2 linked regions of the Oryzias latipes genome follow. The protein of the gene in region 2 purifies or fractionates together with the protein of the main gene of each other region. This does not show direct contact. Links are inferred from orthologs where the notes say so. Each region holds a gene or a part of one and is shown on either strand. Other genes may lie near its edges. The genes, in order: sdhaf2; succinate dehydrogenase [ubiquinone] flavoprotein subunit, mitochondrial.

Region 1 (4,576 bases), on a different chromosome or scaffold from region 2:
CTGTCGGAGATCATCTCGGTTCAAATTAGGACAATCTGAAAATAGTATCACGGATGGCAGACACAACGAGAATTAAATATGAATTGTGCTCTTGGTGAAAATAAGAATATTTTTCTGTATATTGGTAATAAAGACACTACACAGGATTGTGTCCCTCTTAATATGTAATCTTGAAATGTCCTACTATGGATGCCCATGTGTGCCTCCGATATAGGGATTATTAATTAGATGAAAGTTTGTGTGCTCTACAGTGAAGCCTCTGCCAAAAAATGATGCCAACATAACAAATTTTAATATTTTATAATGTCAACAATTCACATAATGACAATGAGTGGCTTTTATCCTCAATTTTACCTTTTTTATTGACGTTTTAAATGACTCTACTTTTCTTTGATGTTCCAAATCAACTGTCCTTGATCTCTACATTTGTATTTTTTGTATAAAACAGCAGCCAAGATTTGAACCCCCAAACTTTAATTATGCTGAGAACAACGAAACTGTTATAAAAACATGGACATTCAATGATTTGAAATTGAATTGATTTTGTCCTCATGTTTACAGTATGAGCTAAATTTGTCTCAGATCAAAATCCATTGACTGCTTAACAGCTATTTTAAGTTTTATTGTTTGGGTCTAAACTATTCTCATTTCACGCTGGAGCTAGAAAGCTTTTAAGTTATAAATGAAATGTCCCAGAAATTAACAAACACAAGATTAAAAAAACAAGAGAATGAATATCTTACCTGTGGCCCAGTAGTAGATGTCCCAGTCATTGCTTGGTTCATTAATCAGTCTGTCGTACTGCAGCAGCTGACTTTCTGTCATTGTATTCAGGTATCGCTTTGCAAAAAGACTACAAAAGAAATTAGAATGCATTAAACCCTTTACTCACTTCCCTGAATAGAAATTCATAGATACTCCGTAGAGATGATTTCATTGCACATGAAAGAACCTTTCGCAATGACGACAAAGTAAAGGAGGAAAATTAAATTTGTTGAAAAAAAAAAAAGCCCAAACAATTGTCCAAAAATATACAAAAACTAAATCATGGGAACGGTGTTTTATTAAGGAAATACTTTATCAAGGAAATATTTGTTTAAGACGACAGTAAGTAGAACCTGCATGAAACTGCAAAAAAAAACTAAAATAACTAAGGACAATTACAGTCTAATTCATGGCGTATACTTATATAGCGCTTTTCTACCTACAAGGCACAAAGTGTTTTACAGTCACAGACCCAGTCACACACACATTCACACACTGGTGGCGGCTCCGCTGCCAAACACTGGCGCCAACCTCCCACCATGGGCAAGATCGGATTCAGTGTCTTGCCCAAGAACACATCGACTCATGGGCGTGCAAGGCGGGAATCGAACCTGCAATATTACGATCATGGGTCGACCGCCCTACCGCTGCACCACGGCCCCCCAAATTCATGCAGAATTCATGCAGAATAATTCATGCAGATGTCGTAAGGAGAAATTCTGAAACAATAGGTCTCTGGGATCTATTGTACCAGACTTGACATCAACCTGAGCAAGATGCAGTTCTCCAACATGCCCCTCTTGCGACTTTCATAAAGAAGCCGGCGTCTCTTGATGTTGATGGGCTCGTCTGGCTTTTCCAGCCATGGAGGCAAAGGGATCTCAATCAGGTCAAACTTATTGTCATCAGGAGCGTCTCCACGGTAACCACGGGATGAAACCATCCCTGTGATGGCTGGTCTCCATGATGCCTGACACAGTCCTGTTACAAGCTGGAATGAATCACACACAAAAAAGGACATCAGAGAAACACCTGAGTATTCCATTGTAAACCTATGATAAGTAAAGACATTTGGGTTGTTTTACTTTTCAAGTAAGGAAAATGAATTTGCAGGATAAGTAGCTAAGCTGAGTATGGGGGTTGTCATAGTCTACCTCCAGAATTTAATAGTTTTGGAGGATGGAATGGTATTTCTGACCACGACATCAATGAACACTTGTGGGAACAGTTTGGGGGTACTGCTTAAGCCACAGTGACCAACGCAACCACGTAAACCGACTTGCAACAAACGCCGGATGAAAGATGAAGTGCCAGCTGCAGCAGTGTGCAATGATGCTAATGAGCAGCACGAGGAGGAGTCAGGCTGTTGTGACTGTATACGCTTCTTCCACACACTTTATAGCCTCTTGTATCTTAAATGAACAGGTACTTTGTTGAAATGTCTTGGTTGTTCAAACTTAAATCCTCTTCTGCTTTGCCGCTCATTACACACAAGCATTTTACTTAAAAGCGTAGCACTTTAAAAAAAAAAAAAACTTTTTTCTAACAAGCACACCATTCCTTTTTGAGCTAAGTTTATTTACCTTTCAACGTGATGTCATGTTATGCAATCACTCTTTTAGCCCGTTTCATTAAACTTTGTTTAGGGATAGAAAAGGGCTACACATTTAAACGTTTTTTGCTAAGACTTTTTGTAATGTTTACTGGACAATAATCAAATCAAACTTTATTTATATAGCACCTTTCCTATTAAAAACGTACGAAAACTGTTTTACACTAAATCACTAATGTTACACGAATGTCTTTAATAGCTCATACTTTGCCTAGCATATCTAAAAGTAAAATTTAATTAAATTTTAAATTATAAGAAGTTTTGATCATTTTTGAAAAAGCTCTCCAGCAAGCAGAAAGTGACATTAAGCCAAGAGCACTAACATCAAACAATTCCCCTCAACTAAGATATTCTTAGGTAAAACATATACATATAATCAAGGATTTAAATCAAGGACATTACTTTTGTCTTCTCCGTTTCTGTACGAACAACGATGTTACACTTTGTTTGGTTTGATAAAACACGGTCGTCGACGAGACAATTACATAGCAGGGAACAATCTCTCTCAACGTGCTTTTTAACCCACTCTAAAGTCTGACTGTTCGGCAACCGTGTTTTAAACAAGTAAATAGTAAGTCAAGGAAAAACTCACTCTTTTCGCCACAAGACCAGACAACATCTTCACCTTCCTTGTGTAAAGTTGACAGATTGTTGTGCAATTACACAAGCAAATCTGTGCGTCGCCTTCAAAATTCCGACTGAAAACTCACGTTGGCGAATTTTACATAACTACAGACACTTTAAAGGCACTCATTCACGTAATTATGCCCAACTTCATGAAAAAAACATTTTTAAATGTCGGAATTGCGTTACTCTAAATTTTTGGTGTGTAAATGCAACTGTTTTAAATCAAATCGTAATAGGAACTTTAAACTAGGAACTATGTGTGGAATTTACTTTCTTGCCGGTTGGTAGTCACTGGTGCGTTCACGTTTTCACTGAAATGCTAAAACGTTAGCAGTAGCCAATCAGCAAGCGTGTATTCAGTAGTCTGGCATGGAATTGTTGTGCATTTAACGTGAAACGTAGTACACGTTTTATTGATTATTGATTTAAAAAGCCAATTTAGATCATTTAAATTCCGGTTTATTGCGTTTGGTGGTAGTTATCAGGTGAATTGTTCGCAAGCCTTCCGCAGCAAACGTTAACATTGTTTTAACTGTTAATGCTAGTAGTACTAGCGGTGCCTCAATTCACAAAGAAAGAGAATTTCTACAGACAGTGCTTGTAAAAACAGACTGTAAATTTTGTGGGCGGAAAAAAACAGCGCGAACTGCACATCCGAGGTTCTCGGAATGGCTGCAACACAGCTTGCAGCCGGATCATCCAGCACATCACAACAAGACCTCGATGACATATATGATGGCTTGAACGAACCAGAGGTACGCTAAAAACATTTTCAGAGTCAATAATAGAAAAAAAAACATGCACCTAGTTCGTTATATTGATACCACTTCGTTTGTGACAATGTATTTTCTGACAATATACGAACAAAAAAACAACAACTCGGATTTCTTAAGAAATGAGGAAATCAACGGTCACACTAAAAATATGAGGGTAACCTTACAGTTACCGTATATTTTAGAACAAATTGCTAGTTTAAATCCCTATTTCTTTTGACCATTTGAAAATATAAATTGTATGTTCATACCAGTGAGATCCTGAATTTGACATTTATCTCATTGTGTTTACTGCAGCTGTCTATGGACAAATGATATAAAACTATGCCTGATTTTTTTTATTATTATTATTCTTTACAGGATTTTGATAAAATTGCAGAAGCAAATGAACTTTTTGATGCCGTTTTAACTGGTTCTGTCAATCAAGACAAGAAGACATATATCAAAGAGGATGCTGCGCAGCACGCCCAAACAAAGAAAGATGGTAAATCCATCCAAATGGAGAAAACAGCTCAAGGAAATTCAAAGAGGAGACTGGCTATCTATATTGGAAATTTTCCCTGGGTAAGTCTGTAAAAGCGAAAGTAGAATTTAGCATTGAGCATCAGGTGGGTGCAGTCATTTTCCTCCTGTTGATGAGGTCCAAAGCACCTTATGGTAAAAGAGGCACCTGTTGCTAAAATTAAAGAATCGTATTGTTATAATAAATGGAAGAAAATTAAAATGTTTTTTTCAAATCTTATATTTGACTTTTTGATAACGTTTTTACTTTTTCTTAAAGGTGAAACTTTCTTCCTGC
Region 2 (4,591 bases):
AAATGAAAACAAAATAAATGTTGCTCCAGAGTGCGGTTTAGCTGACCAATAACAGAGTTTGTGCATCAACTACAAAAACTTTGGGTTCATCCATCTATAAATTCAACTTTACTAAGGTTTTCAAAGAACTCTTTTTAAGTGCTTGTGTGTTTGAATGTAGGGTTTATGCAAAATGACTAAAGTTTCTCACCAGTGGGGTGAAACTGCACAAACTCCAAGTCCTGACAGGGCAGACCAGCTCTGGTCACCATGGCGTTTCCGTCTCCTGTGCTTGTGTGGGCAGATGTGCAGCTGAAATAGGTTCTTCCATAGCCTCTGGAAGAAAAAGAACAGAGCATAGAAATTATTTCCCAACATGTGTTCACTTCCGATAGCTCTCAAATAAACGAGAGGGAGTCACAGCGAAGTCTTACCCTGTGGCAATGACGGTGTTTTGGGATCTGAAGCGGTGAATAGATCCATCCTCCATGCAGAGAGCGATCACTCCTTTGCACTGCCCATCTTCCATCAGCAGGTCCAGAGCAAAGTACTCCACAAAGTAGCTGGTGTCATAACGGAGTGACTGAAAAGTCAAAATAAGAAAAACAGATGATTAAAATGCAGTTCGACGAGACCAAACAGCTAGAAAAGCTCTTCGGTGCTTTGAAAGAGTTAAGGATGAAGTAGATGGGCTCACCCTTCCATAAAGAGTATGCAGCAGCGAGTGACCTGTTCTGTCTGCTACACAGCAGCAGCGATGAGCCTGACCTCCTTTTCCATACTTCAGACTCTGACCTCCAAAGGCTCTCTGGTAAATCTTCCCATCCTCAGTGCGGCTGAACGGCATGCCAAAATTTTCCAGCTGGGAAAAGAATGCCTTACTCATTTCTGACTCTGTATTTTGCATTCAGGCTTAATTCTGTTTATTTGGCGTCAGCAGTCTTAAATTCAAACCCCGCAGACGCTCAATGACAACCAGCTCTTTAGTGTTTTTTCCAGAACTCCTACCTCCACGACAGCAGCAGGAGCCTGCTCCGTCATGTAATGAATAGCATCCTGGTCTCCAAGCCAGTCAGATCCCTTCACTGTGTCATAGAAATGCCACCTCCAGTCGTCATCCTCCATATTTCCCAGAGCCGCATTGATCCCACCCTGTGGAAAATCAAACATATTCAAGCCTGTCAAAGTCATCGGAAATTATTCCACATCCGTCTCATATCCATCCAAATGTCCAACTCCATCTTGTTCTCACCTGTGCAGCAACAGTGTGGGATCTGGTGGGGAAGAGCTTGGTGACGCAGGCAGTGTTAAAGCCGGCCTCAGACAGGCCGAAAGCGGCCCGCAGCCCCGCTCCTCCGGCTCCCACCACCACTGCATCAAACTCATGGTCCACCACTGGATACTGAGTGGATATCTGAGGGGGAGAAACAAAATTTTGATGTGACTTTGCATCATGAACAAGAACTTAGGCCACACTAGCAAAAAAAACAAACAAATAAAAAAACCCTAAGAACCAGTGCATCTAGTACCGGCACTCACGTCATCTGAAACTTTGGCATTATTCTTTTTGCCGTAGATGGAGAAGTGAAAGTTCCTTGAATTTTGAACTGCAGCAGCAGGAACCTGACAAGAGAGCAAGACGGCTTTAGTTCAAGAAGAAAGCTAACAAGAAACAACATACAGTATATTAATAGCAATAAAGATCTATCCTAATACAGATCCAGAAGACATGTTTTCATTTTCTTTTATTCTACTTTGCCCTAAAGCTCGTCTCCAAATGTATAAACTATAAGTAATGTGTAATACCAGATAAACATAAACAAAGTAGTTTTTTTAATATAGACATGTTACAATTTTTGAAAATGTAGTTTGTACAGAATTATGCTGTACATATAAATAAATGTATAAATAAATGTATTATGCTATACAATCTAGATAAAAGGTTTTCCTTTTACAAGTCATTACCTAAACCAACTTTTTTAAAGCTTTTAGGCATCGATAGCTCACCATTTGCCTCACTCCTTCAAGTTAAATTTGAGAAAGAAAAAGAAAAACAGCTGACCTAATAAAGAAATACAAATTACTGATTAAGAATAATCTGAAAGAGGGAAAAAAAAGCCTTAACTTAAAAGTCCAAATGATTGCCTGGGGTATTGATTTGGTATAAACATAAAATATTAATATTTTTTAGTTTTTTTCTTTGAGAAAGCCTCTGTCACTGCAGAGTCACTTACCAAAGTTATCTTAAAGGTTCGTAAATTGTTCTCTCTTATCTCTTCAAGTGCAATCGATTTCTGCAAAGTCAACATGTGGAACTAAAATCTGCACTACTTTTGTTTCCCACCGAAATTAAAATAATTTACACTTTCCGTGTTGAGTGATTTATTATTGTTGTTAGTTGTTATTATTATTTTTAACGACTATTACTTTTAATGTTCATCATTTCTCAGTAGTGCTTTAAGTGACTGTTCATACCGGCATTTTGCTTTTTAATCAAATAAATCAAAATACTGGACGTTTTTTGGTTAACTGCGCCATCGGGCTAATTGGCACAACTACAAGACCAGCAAGTTTAGCAATGTCCTTCTTTTAAGAGGCCAATTGTATTTAATGAATAACTTCATTATATATACAATAATAAGTACGACCTGCGCTTAAAGCTAACATTTCACTTTAGACGAAATCCTCCATCCATGTGTGCAACATTTTAGTTTATAAAGTAATCCCCAAAAAAGTGAATGTAAGAGAGCATGTATAAACCATAAATAGGAATATAAAGTAAACTGGGAATTATTCTGGTTAAATCAGCAACAAAACGCGTTGTTTCTTATGTCACATTGAGACACCCTATGCTACATAATAGATTACGCAAACCGTAACCTAGCCGTTATGAAAGCTAAAGACTGGCTCAAACTTAGACAAACAATGATCACACGAACACAAATGAATTGGTGCAAACAGATAAATGTCTGTTCAATTTAATTTAGTTTGTCAATAATTCGTTACTCACTGCTTTAATATTAGAGATCGCCCTCCTGGAAAGGAGACGAGACGCAGCGCGAACACTCGCCATGTTGCCAGCTCAGAATGTTGAAGCGCTGGTGGGGAAGAAATATTCTGTGGGACTGGACCAAACCATTCAGTAAATATGGGGGGAAATTGATCAACTTGGCGATTGTTTTTCCCTCCTTAAGCTACAACTGTTGTATTATATACAAGAGAATTAATGCAGTCTAGTAAATTTAATACAATACATGAGTCAACCCAGTGACTTCTGAAAAATATAAATTTTTCAAAAGGCTCAGTTATATTTACCACCCCTTTACCGATGTGTGGACCGTTAAGGAGAAATACTTATACAAGCGGTGTATGTAGGAACAAGTTCTGAAGTGACCTAGACATTTTCTCCAAGGTGAGCAAAAACTTCATAGATTTAAGACAGATAATGTTCTGTTGTCGCACTTTAGACATGCAAATTATTCCATTTGGTATAAATAAAATGCTCAGGCGGTCACCACCCCCAAAGAAAAAGGTTGAGTTACTAATCAGCTAAAAACTAGCATGAAATGCTCTCAAACAAGTCAAAAGTGAAAGCACAGACCGATCAATGGGCTGTATTGTGTTGTGGGATTTCTAAACAAAATGAGTAAATATTTTTCTTGCCTTCAGCTGCTTTTAGCAGTGCTGTAGTGTAAAGTATAAGCTGTTGAGGAGTTAATCAGTGACTTCTTCTAGTGAGCCATATTTGGAGGTATAGATAAGTGAACTTATTTGCAGCAAAAGAAGTAAACAAACAAATAAACTAAGATGCTGTTGATGCTTGGCTCTGCTGTGTGTGTGTGTTTGTTTACAGCAGCAAGCATGAACAACCTGAACAACCCCCCCAGGTGGAACATCCAGCAAGACCCCAGGGGGAGGGAGGCGGGTGTAGGTGATGGGAACCCATGGAACTACGCCCTTTTGGTCCCCATGTTGGGGCTGGCTGCATTTCGTAAGTTTGATTCCCTTTTGCATTATAGGAGAAAGAGCAACATTTAAGGTATGTTGCTCAATGAACAAATCAAAATGATATTGATGCATCACTAAAACCTATCTGGTTTCCTCCTAAACTCTCATGTGCTCCTTTCTGTATTTTCAGGTTGGATCTGGACTAAAGAATCCCAGCAGGAGATCCAGAGGGTCAAAGACGAGTGCAGCAAAGATGTTTCCGCAATAAAAAGTGAACTTGAAGCGCGTTATCAGGAGACACTGACAGAAACACGGAGGGCGGCCGCCACGTTGGAGCTGGAGCTGGAGAAGGAGAAGCAGAGAGGAGAAGGCTACAGGCATGCAATAGTGTCACAGAGGCAACAGCTTGTAGTAGAACAAAAAAAGTTGCAGCAGGTAAAGAAGACCTACAGAGCTCTTTGCTTTTAAAGTTTGTATGCTTTTGTGTTTCTTTTCCTAATTCTAAAGCCTAACCTTGACCCAAACACCTTCTACTTCCTTACAAGGAGCGAGATGTGTTGAACGGAGAGAAGCAAAGGTGGCTGACATCTGGCGCCGCTGGTGCGGCTCTGCGCGAAGCCCTGGAGAGGGAAAACAACTGGTGTCTGTACGCCACAGCCACGCT

Evidence for each region.
Region 1: the proteins of succinate dehydrogenase [ubiquinone] flavoprotein subunit, mitochondrial (region 2) and sdhaf2 purify together in Homo sapiens (co-immunoprecipitation; 3 studies listed by BioGRID and IntAct, counting the BioPlex papers as one, with this or other methods). This does not show direct contact. The link is inferred for Oryzias latipes from reciprocal best matches to the Homo sapiens genes SDHA and SDHAF2.

Annotation. Positions count from the first base shown.
Region 1 is NC_019861.2:18,852,550-18,857,125, forward strand, and holds the start of sdhaf2 (succinate dehydrogenase assembly factor 2, mitochondrial), read right to left. Parts: upstream 3,093-4,576; 5' UTR 2,997-3,092; coding exon 2,970-2,996; intron 1,757-2,969; coding exon 1,533-1,756; intron 854-1,532; coding exon 744-853; intron 1-743. Other genes in the region: cpsf7 (cleavage and polyadenylation specificity factor subunit 7), read left to right, coding at 3,673-3,759, 4,138-4,341.
Region 2 is NC_019874.2:14,714,438-14,719,028, forward strand, and holds the start of succinate dehydrogenase [ubiquinone] flavoprotein subunit, mitochondrial, read right to left. Parts: upstream 3,097-4,591; 5' UTR 3,053-3,096; coding exon 2,990-3,052; intron 1,603-2,989; coding exon 1,519-1,602; intron 1,394-1,518; coding exon 1,232-1,393; intron 1,132-1,231; coding exon 988-1,131; intron 842-987; coding exon 677-841; intron 563-676; coding exon 414-562; intron 316-413; coding exon 191-315; intron 1-190. Other genes in the region: ccdc127 (coiled-coil domain-containing protein 127), read left to right, coding at 3,787-3,970, 4,118-4,362, 4,473-4,591. UniProt on the Homo sapiens protein: Flavoprotein (FP) subunit of succinate dehydrogenase (SDH) that is involved in complex II of the mitochondrial electron transport chain and is responsible for transferring electrons from succinate to ubiquinone (coenzyme Q).